Linked DNA regions of Arabidopsis thaliana. The protein of the gene in region 1 interacts with the protein of each later gene in a pairwise test. Each region holds a gene or a part of one and is shown on either strand. Other genes may lie near its edges.

Region 1 (7,903 bases):
CTTGAGATGCTTCTGTGTGATCTTGATGGTTGGCAATGCATCAATTGATGATTTCGGTGCTGGTGGTGGGCCTCGGTGATGAGTGCCTGAGGAAAGCTGTTCAATCAGTTCTTCAAGACCGGGTCCAAAAAAATAGTCTCCGGCATTGGTGCCACGTGCGATACCAATTCCAGGTGCTGCGCCATTGACAAAGGCTTCAACTGAACTATTATCACCACCAGCCAATCGAAAGGGAGCTTGGCCACCAAAGATCAATAGAGGAGCCAAGTTTGAAAAGCTTTCAGAACCCGCAGAGCCAAGTCTTCCGCTGATTTCTCGGTCATAGCTTCTTTCAGCTAAACGGCTTCTCATAAAGGCTGAGAAAGCTTCCATGAGATCAAAGGTTGGATCACGCTCAACATCCCTGTGAGCTCTACTCGGTCCTATATCGATTTCCTCAACAAACCCTCCTCCACAATATGAACAGACAGCATCTCGAGCTCGAAGCCAAACAGCACGTTGACATCTGTGACACCAATGAGTATTCCGAATACTTGACATCCTTTACAATAACAAGAGAAACAAGGTCCCTGTGTGGTTGAAACCTTGGAAGATTTTACAGTCAGGTATTAGTTATTAGCCTGCAAAAGCCGGTAGGAGAACTGATCACCAACTCCTGCTAACTTTTTTGCTAAGTTGGTAAACCAAAGAGATTTTGGCCATATCCCTACTTCCCAAGCTTACCTCAGAGCTTAGTTCATACTACAAGAGTCAATGGAACCACAAGTCATAATTAAGCAAATAAAAGACCAAACTTTACAACACATATTTCACCCAATTATGAAAAATCTCATGTTTCCCTCAACACTAGACCCTTTATTCCCAGATTAGAACATTCACATCATACTAATCTACTACAATCTTCAAATCTAATCTAGCTGATTAACAAATAAATTCTTCTTTAATCAAGCCAACTCAATTAAAAAATGACCAAATAATGAACTCAGAAACTCTATAGTTCAACCACATTTGAGCTAGAAAAAAAAACTCTAAATGAGCCATCAGGCGATCCAGCAATGGAGAGAAAATCGAATTAAGAACAATGAAGAAAGTACAATGCAAGAGATCTACAGAAATCAAAACATCTTTCGTTCGGTTAATCAAGAGGAATAAGATCGATCAAAAACCAGATCACAGAAAACGCTTCAATGGAAAAAAAAAATACGAAATACACAAATCCTAATCAATATCAGAGTAAAACACACAGAAAATATCCGAAATACAATCAAAGGCACAGACTTTACCACAACATTTGAGCAAATTTGATCCAAGGATCTAAATCCAACAAGAAAAATGAAACAAAATAAAATGATAAGATTCAAGAGAACAATTTACTTGGTTAATCAGAAAGAGCAGCTCAATCAGTTACATACCTGTTCACATAGATCCAAAGGAAGACGAAGAAGAAACCCTAAAGAAACTGTGGTAAGATTGGATTTTGGAGGAAGAAAACGAACCAAAAGAGAGCAACTCTGGTAGAAGAATCTCTCCGTTACACTCTATTGAGTCTTTTTGACTGTTAAAAAAAAAAAAGCTTAAAAAAGAACTTGTCTTATCTCTGTGTAATTCTGTGTAAAGTCTGTAATATCCTTTAATTCCCACGTGCCACGTGTCTACCTTTGTTAAAGTAACCCCATCTTTCTCCATATTTACAGTTCTACCTGTCTGACAGTCGCCGGCTTTTTGTCACGCTTTCTTTGCTTCCGTCTGAAGATTACTCAATATACTACTCACGATATAAAATCCTTTCTTTCTTTTATTTTTAAACCTCAAGAATTTCTATAAATAGAACAAAAAAGAATCGATCAAATCTGCTAAGATTCGATCACCATTATAGATGAAACTCAATGTTAGTAGAACAAGTCGTTTAAAAATGGTAACTTGGGGATGAAAAGTGAAAATTCAACAAGCAAACTAAAGATGTTGCTAGGATTTTGGAACCATCTTCTTCCGGCGCTTTCCGCTGGAAGACTCATTGGTCTGGGTATGGATGTAGCTCCTAAGCTTCTTTAGAATCTTCCTCTCACTCACACGCAACACAAGCGAATGATATAGTCTCCTGTCTCTCGGAAGACAACAAGTCTTCACCCTAACAATGTCATCTTCCAATGAGCTCAATGATCCATATAAACTCTCTCGCTTATCCACAATAGTTAGAAGAGCTTCACAAACACCATCTGTCAGAAGAATATCATTTCCGCTTTCTCCATACACAAACTTGTGTTTCCCAATTGTTATCTCGTAAGAAGAAGATCTTTTTCCTTCTTTCGAGGGAGAAGCTCCTGTTGTTGATTCAGCTAGATCCAGTTTATTGTATGTGTCGTCTGGTAAGAGCAGTATATAGAGTAGGATCAGGAGCTCGGTTTGGGGTTCTCCGGTTGAAGATACCTCAAAGTATTCTGAGTTTTGACTCTCGCATCCTGTGTAACCTAGTTTTCTCCACAAGGCCAGTCTAGCTCGAGTGTACCGGCTTGTGAATGAGGATGTGCTCCATTCGGTTACTAATTCTAGATCTATGTTTACTATGTCATATGGATTATCGAGCTCTGTAAATCCGTACCTGTGGAGTAATGCAGCATTACCCATCAAACCGTATGTATTGAATACCTACACAGAAAATCATGGCATCAATGCAAATGACATATAATTCTAACTTGAAAACCAAATGAAAAATCATACATACCTCAGCTCCAGCTGAGACATCCTTCACCATAATCATTTTTAGACCGGATTGATCATTTTGCAGCATTGAAGAGTTTTCTTCTTCCTCTTCTCCTTCTTCTTCTTCTTCTCCTTCTTCTTCTTCTTCTTCTTCTTCTTCTTCTTCTTTGGCTTCGTCATCAGTGTTTTCACCAGGAACTTCCTCAAAAGACTGCTCAGGCGAGGAAGAAATTTTACTGGAAGGCTCGTCTTCATCAGTGGTCTCATTTGCAGCATCATCGTTGTCAGATTCATCAGCTTCAGAATCGGATTCATGAGTGAAGTGAACGTCTTCTGCCCCAGTTTTATGATTAAAGCTGCAAAATGAAATAAACAGGCAATACTAAGAAGAGTGGACAATGAGTAAATCATCAAGCATTTGTCAGGAAATTCACCTAGCATGCTAGAATCACATTTAGTTCATCGAAACCGACTTCTAAGGATCATTTTTTCCACATGAAAAAAAAAATCAAAACGGAAAAGCACAGATCCAAGTAAATAACCAATAAGATGCTGCAATCCAGAAGAAGGCTGTGAAAAAAATCAGCACATTGATTGCTAACTGTATAGATTATCTGCAATCACTGACAGGACTGGGAACATACTCGGTCTTATCAAAGTGATTGAACCTAACGAGACCTTAAAATCTACACAGCGGAAATCTCTTGAGGACAACATAAACAAGCAAATGTTGGTCCAACAACTAGGCAAATTGGCCGATATACAAGATGCAATAAAAACTCACAAGTCTGGGAAGTGAACAGAGAAATAAGGAAAACATCTATATGACCATAAACTAAGTAACTAACTATATAAGTCTATGGTTAATGCAAAGCTTAGGGAGTAAAAACAGCTGATACAGGAAAGCATTTCTAAGGTATTAAACCTCAATTCTAACAACTTTCTTTGGTTGATACATATTTAGCTTAACAAGCCCTATGAAGACAAATGTGAGGTAAACTTACAGGTCTGCAAGAGGAACCATCCCGGATCCATGGTAATCATCGATTTCGAAAGACCGTGAAGCAATTAAACTCTTAGCAGCAAGATACTCTTTGATTCCAAACGAATCAGAATCAACATTCTGAGGCAGTGAAGAGGTAAGCGGCAAAATGTTTTCTTTCCAATCCTCATATATAAGAACATGATCTTCCTTCACCAACTGCCTACAAAAAATTCAAACTGATGAGTAGTGAATTCAACTACAATGCAATGGTAAATCAAAATTTGGAAAGGAAACCTTATGAAGCTCAGTTCCAGATAAGAGAGAATCTAAGTCTTCAAGAGACCAAACAAGAGGCAAATCTTCTTGAATAGGAAGAATCTGAAGATAACCAGCCCAAGGAGATTCTTCACCTAAGCTTCTCTCGTACATGAGAGCCACAGAGAGACCTAAACTTCCATCTAAATCAGCAGATTCGATCATCTCACGAGCTCCACTGGTTTTGATAGTGAGACAAGCAGTTTTTGAGATATTGGCAACAACATCTCCTTCCTTCAAATCGCAGAATGCTCTCACAGAGACACCATCGTTTTCGTCGTCGACGAGGTTGAGAGCTTCGCTGCAATCAACGCCGTTAGCTTGCATCCATCTCTTGAATGCTCTTAATCTCCTACTAACAATGCGAGAGACGAGAAATTAAACAAGGTAAAATTAAAGGTTCTATTCATTGACTATAGAGCGAGAGAGAACCTTGTGGCCATGAGTGAAGGTCTCCGATGAAATCGCCGGAGGGAAACAAAACAACGTCCGGTGAGAGAGACAACGACGGCGATAAATGAATAAAGGGTTTATGATGTTCAGTAACATACGAAGAGTATTGACGAAAATACCCTTCCATCTGAAAATTAAATAAACCTGAAGTAATTTGGATAACAGCTTCTAATTGCCACACTTTAATTACGGGGAAATTATTTATATGTTTTGTATCTTCCCTTTTAAACATTATCAAACTAGTAATCTATGCATCACATACAAATACTCCATTTCATTTTTGTAATGAGTTTAGCGATAATATGCATACAAATTTAAGAGTGTTCAATCCGAATTTTGGTTTAGTTTTGAATCTTCTGATACGTGACGAAAAGAAAAAAAACTTTTGATACGTAAAATAGTATCTAAAACAAAACATTTATCATTGGGATAAACAGTTTAGTACTCAAATTCAGAGTTTGGTATTTAATCCTAAAATATTAATAAAACTTTGATTTTTTTTGTTTGGTTTGAATTTAAATTCAAAATTTTGGATAAAGAAAAAGGTGAATGTATTCATACCATATTAATATATAATTCGATTTGAATTCGGATCCGATTATTCAGAATAAACACCCCTTGATATCAATGTAGACACTTATAGCCTCAACCCTTAGTTATGTTAGAAGTTATCGACTCTCACGTCATTGTAGGAGATTTTTCAGATTGTGGTTTAATCTGTATTTATTTGACATGGAGGTTTATCTTGCAAAAAAAAATTATATTGAGGGTTTTTTGCACAAAATCCTTATGTATTCAAACGGAGTTATCGACTGCCACGTCATCGATATACGGGAGGGTTGTATTGCAGGTGATTTAGAGTAGGTGGGGTTGACTTGCATAATTCGGACTTGGAGGGTAACTTGCAAACGAGATTGATTTGGAGGGTTATTTTGCAGAAAACTCTTCTTTTAAAAAGTATTAAAGAGTTTTACATCCAACAGTGTTAAAGAGTTTTACATCCAACTTTGAATTAAAGGAAAAAGCCTAATGTTTAGTGTATAAATTTCCAAAAACAAAAATATCAAGTAAGACTTTGATCTTCAATACATTACCATTTCATACATTTATATATAGAATAGACTAAAGTATGTGCTATAAACAAACCAATAATAATAAAAACTTTGTAATCATTAATTATAACAAAGATAAATGAATACTCAGCCAAAACAACATCATGTTCGGGTGCAGGAGAAGAAACGACAACAAAATCTTCCTCGTTCACTCCATTTGATGAACTCTCGGCAATTTTCTATCCTCGCCACAACCAAAAACGCAGAGTTTTGGTGATTCCACCATCGATTACTCTTTTATTTCTGATTCATTTTCAAGAGTGTCGAACAATACCGGTTTACTAGAAAACATCGTGAAGGAAGGAATAAAAGAAAGAAAATAAATGCAGTTGATCTCAACCTATCTATGGAGTTTGATTTGAATTTTGTGTGTTTTATTTTTCCATCAAAAATAAATAAAATGCTACCATTGTAATTTTTGATTAAGAATTACAATGGTAAGCATTTTATTTTATGTTTATTTACTCTTTTATTTATGTTTTTTTGTGTTTTATTTATGTTTTCCACCATAAACCTGTTTCATGATTTTGTAACGTGATCATTGACAGAAGAACACACAAAATGGATTCATGACGCACCAACAGAAACAAGAAGAAGACTCAAAACAAGACTCAAAACAGAATCCAAAAAACTTAAAAACCTAAATAACTTGGGAACCAAGAAACACTTCTTACCTTGTCGTGTTGTGAGAAGAGTGATCAAGAGAGTATTCTTGCATTAACCAATCAGTTTTGACGCCTTCTGATGGTTTCCCAACGTAGTATGCAAGTGGCCTTTTGTTGCCAACGACACCATCTCCAGCTTTAAATCTTTTGGGCAGCCACTTTTGCGTGCCAATATCCTCCGTCAGTGTCGCCACGTTTCTGCCTTTTCGCACCATTACCAACTCTCTTTGTTTGGCTTAAACCTTGATCAACTTTGTTCCTCTCCGTTATAATAAACCATTCTTTATCGTTACCCTTCTGGAATTCCTCTGTTTCAAAAATATATATATATAGATATATGTTAATCACTTAATAAACTAAAGAATTCAACTAAGTAAACAATACATATGGACGGAGACAAAGTTAACCTGAAAGTGTCTGTGGATTCGACTCGTAGATATTGACGCGATGAATAGGAACATTGAGCAATACGTTGGTGTTGCCGTCCGAGTAAGGTTTCAAGTAACAATTGATGACTTCTTTATCGTTTGGCATAAACTTAAAACCTGGCGGTAATACGTAAGCTATCGTCGACGGAGGAGACATGTTATCAGCTGCCAAAGAAGACGAAGAAGAAGGAATCTCTGACTGTGGTTGCGTTTGCGGTTCCGGCCAGGATCTTTCTTTGCGCTTGTTTCTTCCAGGCATCATCATCAAGTAACTTTGGAGCTTTGACAAAAAACAAGGAGTAAGTTTCGTAAGAGATATTCAGTTAGTTAGTAATTGTCTCTTATTTATAAGAATGTAATAAGACGGTGTATATATAAAATGATTTATAAAATTTGAGATAATATGGGATTAAGTTTCGTAAGAGATTTTTGCGTAAGTTTCGTAAGAGATATTCAGTTAGTTACGTTAGTTATTGTCTCTTATTTATAAGAATGTAATAAGACGGTGTATATATAAAATGATTTATAAATTTATCGAATTTGAGATAATATGGGGTTCGGATAATATAAGATTTGCTGAATATCAAATTGAGATTGAGATTTGGAAAAGAATAAGTTTCATGTTTAGCTAACAAACGTTAAAATTGTGGAATAATGTAAGCAAGAATGTGAATTACTCCAAACAACACAAGTTAACAAAGAAATAAACGTTGATTACATTAAATGTGAAATAAATCTGTTTTTGAAAAAAATATACCGTTTTCATGTTAAAATTGAAATAGTGTTGATTAAAAGAAAATGTTAGACAAAGTTTAAATAGAGCCATTGATAACAACTAGATAGGAAAAAGACCTTTGGTGTGAAAGAGTTTGCCTGAAGGTCGACTGTGAGTGAGCATGGTGTAGCTCGCCGGAAAGGCTGTGAATTTCGTCGGAGAAGCTCTATGTCACTAGTACTCACTTCGGTTAATGTCTTTTCGCGAATGTTCTCAAGATACTTACTTTGAGCAAAACTGAACGTGAAGATTTTGAAATCGAACATAGCCTCTCACATGCTTTTGAGTTTTGAGAGCAACACTTTCAACCTAAGTAGCAAACAATGTAGCGATAAAATTCATATTTGTAGTCAAGCTTTAGTTAAAGAGATAAGTTTGAGTTAGCCATACAAAGCAGTTTATAAATATTAGCAATTTTAAAAGAAAAAATATAATTGTTTACACAAAAATTATATCATTAATAATACAAA
Region 2 (8,481 bases), on another chromosome or scaffold:
TGATTGGATCTACAATTTCATACTGAAATCCGTAATCTGTAAAAAAAAAAAGCTTAGAAAAAAATAAGTTGCCACTACACAAAAGAATCCAATATTAGAATAAACAGTTTAATATTTTATATTTACTCAAGTTGAGCTGAAAACAGCAACATACGGAAACTATATAATAATTAACAATACACGAATTTTGTAACGGTCTATCTTAGTTGTACATGCTACTACCATTTTTATCAACGGTTGATAATAACAATAATAATAGTATGATGGTCTAATTTGAGGAAATAACTGTTATAACATTTTCAAGGATTATTAAAGTAAACAAAATAAAATGACTTTGCAGTTTTGCAAAACAAACGAAAAAAATGATATTACATAAATTGTTCTTGTTAATAGGAAAGCACTTGTTGAAGCTTAAATTGGCATCATTGTGGAATCTTTTTGCTCACACACAATCATCTTATTCGGGTAAATCACTCTCATTGAATAAATTATCAACCGAACCTAAAATCATTTTTTGACTATATATTTTCACCAATATTATAATATTTAATATTTTGAATTTGAAGTTTCTGACCTATATTTACCTTGAAAAAGTCACTTATTCACAATATACAAAAATATTGACTACTACATACTAACATACATATATATCATCATTCCAGGAAATAGCGAAAATATAGATTCCAAGCGAAACACAGAGAAATAAAAAGAGAGAGAGAGATTCCAAAGGACAAAGAGCAATTACTCTGCTAAGTGGGAAGAACAATCACTAATCTGAGTCATCTGGCATTCATAAACGCACCTTTATTTAAGTTCTATGGGATCGTAATCTGAGTACATTAATTACTTCTATGTTCCTTTCACATTTTGTTTTGTTAAACAATTTCATAATATTGTTTTGAAATGTATAATTTTAGCCAATATTCGGTTTTAATATTTGTTACTGCCTTTTTTTTTTTTTTTTCCACCAATTTGTTACTGCCTTGAAATAACTATTTAATTGTGTGAAAATAAAATTCGGTCCAAACTATCTACTGTAGTTGCCATTTCTGTCATACATGATACTACATAATAACACGGACGCCGTGTTTTACCTTTTTTTTGGGGTCAAATTTCGTATAAAGAAAAATGGAGACGAATGTTTTTCTTCGGTGCATAATCGCACCATTTAAATATATGTCTATTACATAATCAAAACGAAATAATGCAAAAAGAACCACATCACGACAATACATTATTAGAATCCACGTCACATATTTGTCTTCCACATAACACTCACACCAGAAAACTACTCTTTTCTAATTAAAAAAAAACAGATGATAACTAAGCTAAAGACATAAAATTTGTAATGTTTAGTGTCCCACACTGGACTTTAATTGGATAAATTACTCCATAAAAACAAAATGCACCAGATAGTTTTTTTATAAGAAAAACAAAAAAGGTACATTCCAGGGAATATACCTTATGATTCTCAAGGATTATTGCGCCGCGAGCACTCGGCCACGTACGAAAGCGTTTTGGATGCCGTTAAAGAACTTTCCGTAAAAAGAACGTACGAAAATATCATAATGCCTTCAATTTATCTTTCGAGAATTTGTTCTAATTTGTTCTAATTTTCCAAAACATTGAAATTTTCTCACGGAATATAAAACATTAATATATGAATTAATGTTTTTCCAAAGCATACGTAAGCCTCGCTATACCGTTGCCCATTCCGAAGTTGCGTATCAAAACGCAAAAGGATTACAGTGAATTAACAATACGAGAAGACCGTTCATGAGAGTGAGTATACGCACATTTTCAATTGAAGTTATTGGAGTTGTTAATTAGTTGCATGCATCTAACGATCTAAGTCTCCGATTTTGACGTACAAAGATTTCGTCCATTATTGTCGTTTTTCCATATCATAGAAATTTTAATTTTTTCATGCATGATATCCATTCATCCATGATCATCAAGATTCAAAGTCGTGACTTCTTCTCTTGTCTCTGGCCCCACATTTGTAGACCTATTATTGGTTCATAGTTAGGTTCTATTTATGACTAATATCTAGTACAATATATCAACTTGAGAATTTATCAACTATTTGTTAGGAATGATATATTTAGCTCACTTTCAATTTTCTTGGTGTATTATCATTTATATATTTAGCATGCCACTTACTAACGTTTTATTAGAGTTGCAAAAAGATCATTTAATATTTCCCTCAAATAATTATGTGAAAACTTCAAATAAAAACAAGAATTTTAAACATACGAGACGAAAATGTAACATGGTCATTATAAATTGTTCACACACACATATTCTCTTGACATTAAAACCAAAAAAAATTTGTTTACATAGAAGATTTCGAACATCAAGACATAAAATGAAAAAAGGAAGTATCAAAAAGAGGCCCTTTAAAGCCCAATTTATGGGACCTTAGGCCCATTGTAAAGGTATCAACATCCTCCATTTCAGAAAACGTAAGATTTTACAAAACAGACCCAATAGTATTATTTTACCTGTTGCCAAGGCCCATTTGTTGGAGAAACCGACCGAAAGGAGTACGAGACTAAGAAAATCTCTTGCACATGTCTTTGTAATGGATCCGTCCTTTGGACTCTCTCTTGGATGTTGTTTCTGTCTCTTCAACAATAAATGATTAATTGTATAATTAACGAACGATCGTTCTTAGGGCTAATAGGGAAATACACCATCAATGCGCATGTACATAACTCTAATTTCATTTTAAAATCACAGGAATTCCATTTTTATACAGAGTCCAAAATTCATACTTTATAAAAACCCTTTCCACATACATTACCTTAATCTAGTAGGAGACGGAAACTTGAAGTCATAGGAAACTAATTAAAGGGGAGAGTCAAAAGAAAAATAACAAAAAGCCGAATCCATTTTACTTTTTTTTGTTTAATATGTTGTTGACGTGTAATAAAAAGTATTTGGAACGGTCAAACCAGTAGAAGAGAAAAGCGTCAAAATCACGGAAAAGAACATAGGTGGTCATCAGAGCAGAGGATCACTACCTCGTAAGCTAACGTGGCGTAATACTGACGTCTAAAGATCACAGCTCTTACGCTGCTCCAGTGACCAGCGAATCGTAACCTCCGATTCTGTCCCTTTTTCTACCGGTGGGTCCCAACCACTTTACAAACTGCGAAGCATAAGATTTCTTGTGCCAGAAGAATTACATTGTTCTGACTATTTTACCCTTTTACCCCTATCTGGATGATATTTTATTTTTATTTAGTAAAATCATATATTTTCATTACAAGAAAATTGTATAGTCAGTAGGTAATTCAGTATTATTCTCTGGAAAACCGATGGTTAAAACTTGAAAAAGAGCCAAGCTGCCAAGGTCTAGCTAGGTTCACAATGAACCGTCACATTGAAGATATCAGACCAGACCAAGCAGGGGTAATATTGTCATCTCAGGTACATCAAATTTATTATCTTGTACACGAGGAGTATTCATTTTTATTTTTTAAAAACACGGTTAATTAATTTTCTTCCTTTTCACACAGAGACATCGGAGGAGAAAAAAAAGGGCAAAAACAAAAAACAAAGATCCGAAATTTTTCCTCTGGAAATATCTCAGTGAGTGTCTGTGTAAAACAAAAAAAACAAGGAAGAAAATTTACTACATTTCTGTATTATTTAGCATTAAATGGATCTGTTCCAACGATAATTCTCTGTCTGTGATAAAAGAAAAATTGAATTTTTTCTTCTATCTATCTACCTCTGTTCTTCCTCGTCATTTCTTACCCAGAAAAATAGAGGATAACAAAAATCTGTTTCTTTCGATGATCATCGTGACACTTTCTCTGTGATTTTTCCTTTCTTCTGTTGTTGTTGATCATCGTGATCATCGTCTTTCCTTACATGCGAACCCCCATGTCAGACACTCAGCATGTACAGAGCTCTTTGGTGTCGATTCGATCTTCCGACAAAATCGAAGGTTAACTTTCTTCTAATCTCGAGAGATCCATTTGATCCGGTCTGGTTTTTCCGTAATGTGTTTGAAAGATCATACTGAGTTTTCTAGTTTGATCATCGTTTATAACTCTCATTGTGATTTCAGCAAATTTTTGTAGCATTTCGGAATTTTGATCTCTTGATGAGTTTTATTTACGTTTTCTGTTTGCTTTTTTTATCTAGTGATCAAGTTTTGAGATTTATGTTGTTGTTGTTATGATGATCTTGTAGATGCCTTTAGGAAGATGAAAGTAAATGAGACCGGCGTGGAGGAACTGAATCCGTATCCAGATCGTCCCGGTGAAAGAGATTGCCAATTCTATTTAAGAACTGGTCTCTGTGGCTATGGAAGCAGTTGCCGTTACAATCATCCTACTCATCTTCCACAGGTCAGAAACTAAACTTCATTTATTTTGGCTGAGTCTTACTTAAGTTGCAATTTTGGCCTCATGGGTTTACTGCTTTTAAACATCTTAATAGGATGTTGCTTATTACAAGGAGGAGCTCCCTGAGAGAATTGGACAGCCGGATTGTGAGGTGCAGTTTCTTGTATCTCTCACTATCTCAAATCTTGGTTGTTGTTTGGATGAGTACATTGTAAACAGTTAAAAAGAAAACGAGATTTTTGTTCAGAATAAAGCTAAAGTAAGAGAACTGATTCTAGTTTGTAACTTCACATAAGAGAGGTAGCAAGAATATACATTGAAACTGCAGAAGATATTCCTCATCTGGTTTAGTCTTTCCTCCAAATGTTTTCCACAAACAACTTTTTCTTCTACATGCAATTTTCGCTGCAGTATTTTCTGAAGACAGGAGCTTGTAAGTACGGCCCAACTTGTAAATATCATCATCCAAAGGACAGGAACGGTGCACAACCTGTAATGTTCAATGTTATCGGTTTACCTATGCGTCTGGTAATTTCCATCGTTGTAGCTAAATTCTTTTTCTTTAGTCGAATGTGGAAGACTTATTTGAATTTCTTCTCCAGGGTGAGAAGCCATGTCCATATTACCTGCGAACGGGAACTTGCAGATTCGGAGTTGCTTGCAAATTCCACCATCCTCAACCTGATAATGGACATTCTACTGCATATGGAATGTCTAGCTTTCCTGCTGCAGATTTACGATATGCTAGTGGTTTAACAATGATGTCTACATATGGAACTTTGCCTCGTCCGCAAGTTCCCCAGTCCTATGTGCCAATCCTGGTTTCACCCTCTCAAGGCTTTTTACCTCCTCAAGGCTGGGCCCCTTACATGGTTAGTCTGAATTGAAGCTGCCAATAACGTAAACCTGTTCTTTACTGTTGATATCACATTTTATGTTGCAGGCTGCATCTAACTCCATGTACAATGTGAAGAATCAACCTTATTACTCCGGTAGTAGTGCATCCATGGCCATGGCTGTGGCATTGAACCGTGGTTTGTCAGAAAGTTCTGACCAACCAGAATGTCGGTTTTTTATGAACACCGGGACATGTAAATACGGAGACGATTGCAAATACAGCCATCCCGGAGTAAGGATTTCACAACCACCACCAAGTCTTATAAACCCTTTTGTTCTTCCAGCGAGACCTGTAAGTCTCTTACTAAACTGAAAGAAGAGCTTTGGTTACAAACAAATGTGGTCTTACAGGTCACTAGTAAAACTTTTACAAAGATTTTGAACATCTAATGAGCTACTGTTTTGATTTTTGCTGTCTAGGGACAACCAGCTTGTGGTAACTTCAGGTCTTATGGATTCTGCAAGTTTGGACCAAACTGCAAATTCGACCACCCTATGCTGCCATATCCGGGCCTGACCATGGCTACTTCTCTGCCTACTCCTTTTGCTTCACCTGTTACAACCCATCAGAGGATCTCACCAACACCAAACCGCTCTGATTCAAAGTCTCTTTCTAATGGTAAACCTGATGTGAAGAAAGAAAGCTCAGAGACTGAGAAACCAGACAATGGAGAAGTGCAGGATTTGTCTGAGGATGCGTCATCACCATGATCATGATTCTTAAAAACCCCAATGATCTCTCTCTGCCCTTTTTTGTGGAAGAGGAGGGGAGGTGAAAAGTGTTTCTCTTTTCTTTTTTTTTTTGGCTTGGAGATGGCCATGGCTGAAAACAATATAGGATGAAACCAGTGATGTTGTCACAGGTTTCTCTTCTGTTTTTGACTCTGTTAATAAATTTTAATCAGACTTATCAGAGGAAAAATAGAGTTTGTGTTGTGACACTCACTAAGAGCTCTTTATGAATGACAACTCGAACGTAAAATTACATCTTTTGCTTTTGTCAAGTGTTTACATCAGTAATATCCCCAATTTCAAGCTTATTTTTTTTTTTCAATTTTAAAACTAAAAAGGTTCCAAATTTTTTTTATCGATGAGTCATATTTCATTTGAACATTCCAAAAGTAAAGAAAAGAGTTGAAAACTTTCCTCAGCCTATTACAATTGCCTTTAGCTGTTAATGAGTTTTAGAGATTCGATTAGTTTTAACCAACAGTTCCTGAATAATTGGATTTTACTCTCTTGTTGAGTTTAATTATTCCAATATTTCTTCATGGTGCTGTTTTGCTATTGCTGGTGATAAACAGTTGATCTACCGACGATTTGCATTCGACGGTGGTTTCTTCACCAGAAATCGATATCTCCGATGGCGAAGGATGACGATGGGAATCTTTTTTGGCTCATCTTACACGTGTATTATTACGTGTCTTTGGATGATCTTTCTTGATGCAATCTTCTTCTGTAAACGGTGTATTATTGGGCTCTTCTTGAGCTTGCTTTTGTTCGCAATCTGTTTATGTGTGTTGGGCTGTAATTGGCCTTGTAGCAAACGGTTTATTGAATAAAGTCCACTATTGAGAAAAAAAAAAAAAAAAACTGAAAAGGGTTGTTTTTAGGCATTTTTTGTCGGAGAAAAATCTGGGAAGAAGCTTCGTCCTTTGCGTGACAGGGAATCTCTCCGTTGGGGTTTTGTGGCTGCCTACGATTTCTGCAAGCAAAACCACAGAACTCAATCTAATTAATTAGCCGAGTCGACTCAATCCGAGTTTCTACAGCCGCACGAGGGAATCATGAATCGGCTGAGAGGCCGAGGTACACCGATTCTGGGTTCCGCACTCGTGCCTCAGCTGAAGAAAAAAGCCCTAAATTCATTGGTCGCCGTCCAGGATTCATATCTATCCACCAAGGTGATCGAAGAATTTCAATTCATACCGGTTTCTGAAGAATTGGGATTAGTAAATGTTTTTTGCATCAGGATTTTTGTTAAAATGTCAATCTATAATCTGCTTATAATGGGTTTCGTTTAATCTCTTAGGACTTGTTCGAGAGGCACAGGGTCGTGTTTACAGTTGGAACTTCTATAGCATCTGTTGCTACGGCTTGGATTGGTATGTTACAATTCCATATTTTTTGCTTACTTTATCTTCAATTAGAGAATCTTTACCTCTTACCACGTATTTTGATGTTTAAGTTTCTGAATTGGATTGCTTTGAAAGGCGAGCAATGGCTATTAGTGAAGTGATTCAGATTTTGGGTGTTGATTGGCTTCAATTCATGAGTGTTTCATTGGGATAGCTTTAGCTCTCAGGCTTGATCTCTAGGGGTGAAATCCATTCTGTGATAAATTTGAGGCCTTTTTCCGGATCAGACTATAGATTACGGTTTAGTTGATTTGATCTGCCATAAGTTTCCAAGTGTTTGGAGATCATCTTGGTCAGAATTCTGTGATGATGTTCAATAACTAATCTGTCCAAAACTTCCAATAACTGAAGTTTAGTACTTTGAGATCTCTACATGATATTCTAGGTCTTTTGTTATTCTGCTGGGACATAAAACAAGTTAGAAACTGAATTTCTTGTGTGATACTAGTGACCGTTGGAAGAGGTATCTCATTGGTCTTTTGTTTATGTTTGTACTGAGTCAAATGAGTTTTATGACCGTGTTCTACCGAATGGATGAATGATTGTGCAGGTTACTCATTACGACATTACAATGAAACTAGAATTAATCAGAGGCTGGAGTCCATTGAGAATGCGGTTAGTGTGTCCCTCATTTGCCAAAGTTTATTGCACATAGTATTGCATATTTGCTTTAAATTTAGCTGCTTTGCATAGTTGGATTCATATAGCTGCTCTTCTTGCAAATGACTTGGTGCTTCCTCTTATGATGTCTAGTTATTGATCCTCTATCATGAACTTACAGCGTAGTTGTCTGAATTTAGTCCTCTTTCCGTTAATAATATAGATTTTTTTGCTAATACTTACGTGGTTGACTATTTTACACTTTAAAATATTCAGTGTTTTGTTTTTGTACCTTAATGATCCTTAGTTGCTCTATTGTCTCAGTCTGTCACTTGAAATGTTTGTTTTTTTGGTCATGCCAGATGAAAAACACCCAAGAGTTAGAACGAGGAGAACTGAAGAAGCTCGTTGATCCAGTCGGTTCCAGGTTCACTACAACAATTGCCACAGCGGGAACCACTTTGATCCTCGGGTTTGTTTCCGGA

What was found.
Region 2: the proteins of AT3G56570 (region 1) and AT1G04990 interact in a two-hybrid assay, tested with the Arabidopsis thaliana proteins (one large-scale study listed by BioGRID).

The regions. Positions count from the first base shown.
Region 1 is NC_003074.8:20,955,200-20,963,102, reverse strand, and holds AT3G56570 (SET domain-containing protein), read right to left. Parts: upstream 4,520-7,903; 5' UTR 4,444-4,519; coding exon 4,433-4,443; intron 4,356-4,432; coding exon 3,980-4,355; intron 3,902-3,979; coding exon 3,705-3,901; intron 3,057-3,704; coding exon 2,723-3,056; intron 2,647-2,722; coding exon 1,966-2,646; 3' UTR 1,810-1,965; downstream 1-1,809. Other genes in the region: AT3G56580 (RING/U-box superfamily protein), read right to left, coding at 1-540; NAC065 (NAC domain containing protein 65), read right to left, coding at 6,236-6,432, 6,638-6,938, 7,511-7,699.
Region 2 is NC_003070.9:1,416,856-1,425,336, reverse strand, and holds AT1G04990 (Zinc finger C-x8-C-x5-C-x3-H type family protein), read left to right. Parts: upstream 1-3,697; 5' UTR 3,698-3,882; coding exon 3,883-3,958; intron 3,959-4,206; coding exon 4,207-4,364; intron 4,365-4,455; coding exon 4,456-4,512; exon of another isoform or gene 4,513-4,724; coding exon of another isoform or gene 4,725-4,772; coding exon 4,773-4,889; intron 4,890-4,963; coding exon 4,964-5,233; intron 5,234-5,304; coding exon 5,305-5,550; intron 5,551-5,678; coding exon 5,679-5,969; 3' UTR 5,970-6,121; exon of another isoform or gene 6,122-6,266; intron 6,267-6,309; exon of another isoform or gene 6,310-6,562; 3' UTR 6,563-6,725; downstream 6,726-8,481. Other genes in the region: AT1G04985 (triacylglycerol lipase-like protein), read left to right, coding at 7,046-7,162, 7,291-7,363, 7,947-8,011, 8,359-8,468. UniProt on the Arabidopsis thaliana protein: Possesses RNA-binding and ribonuclease activities in vitro.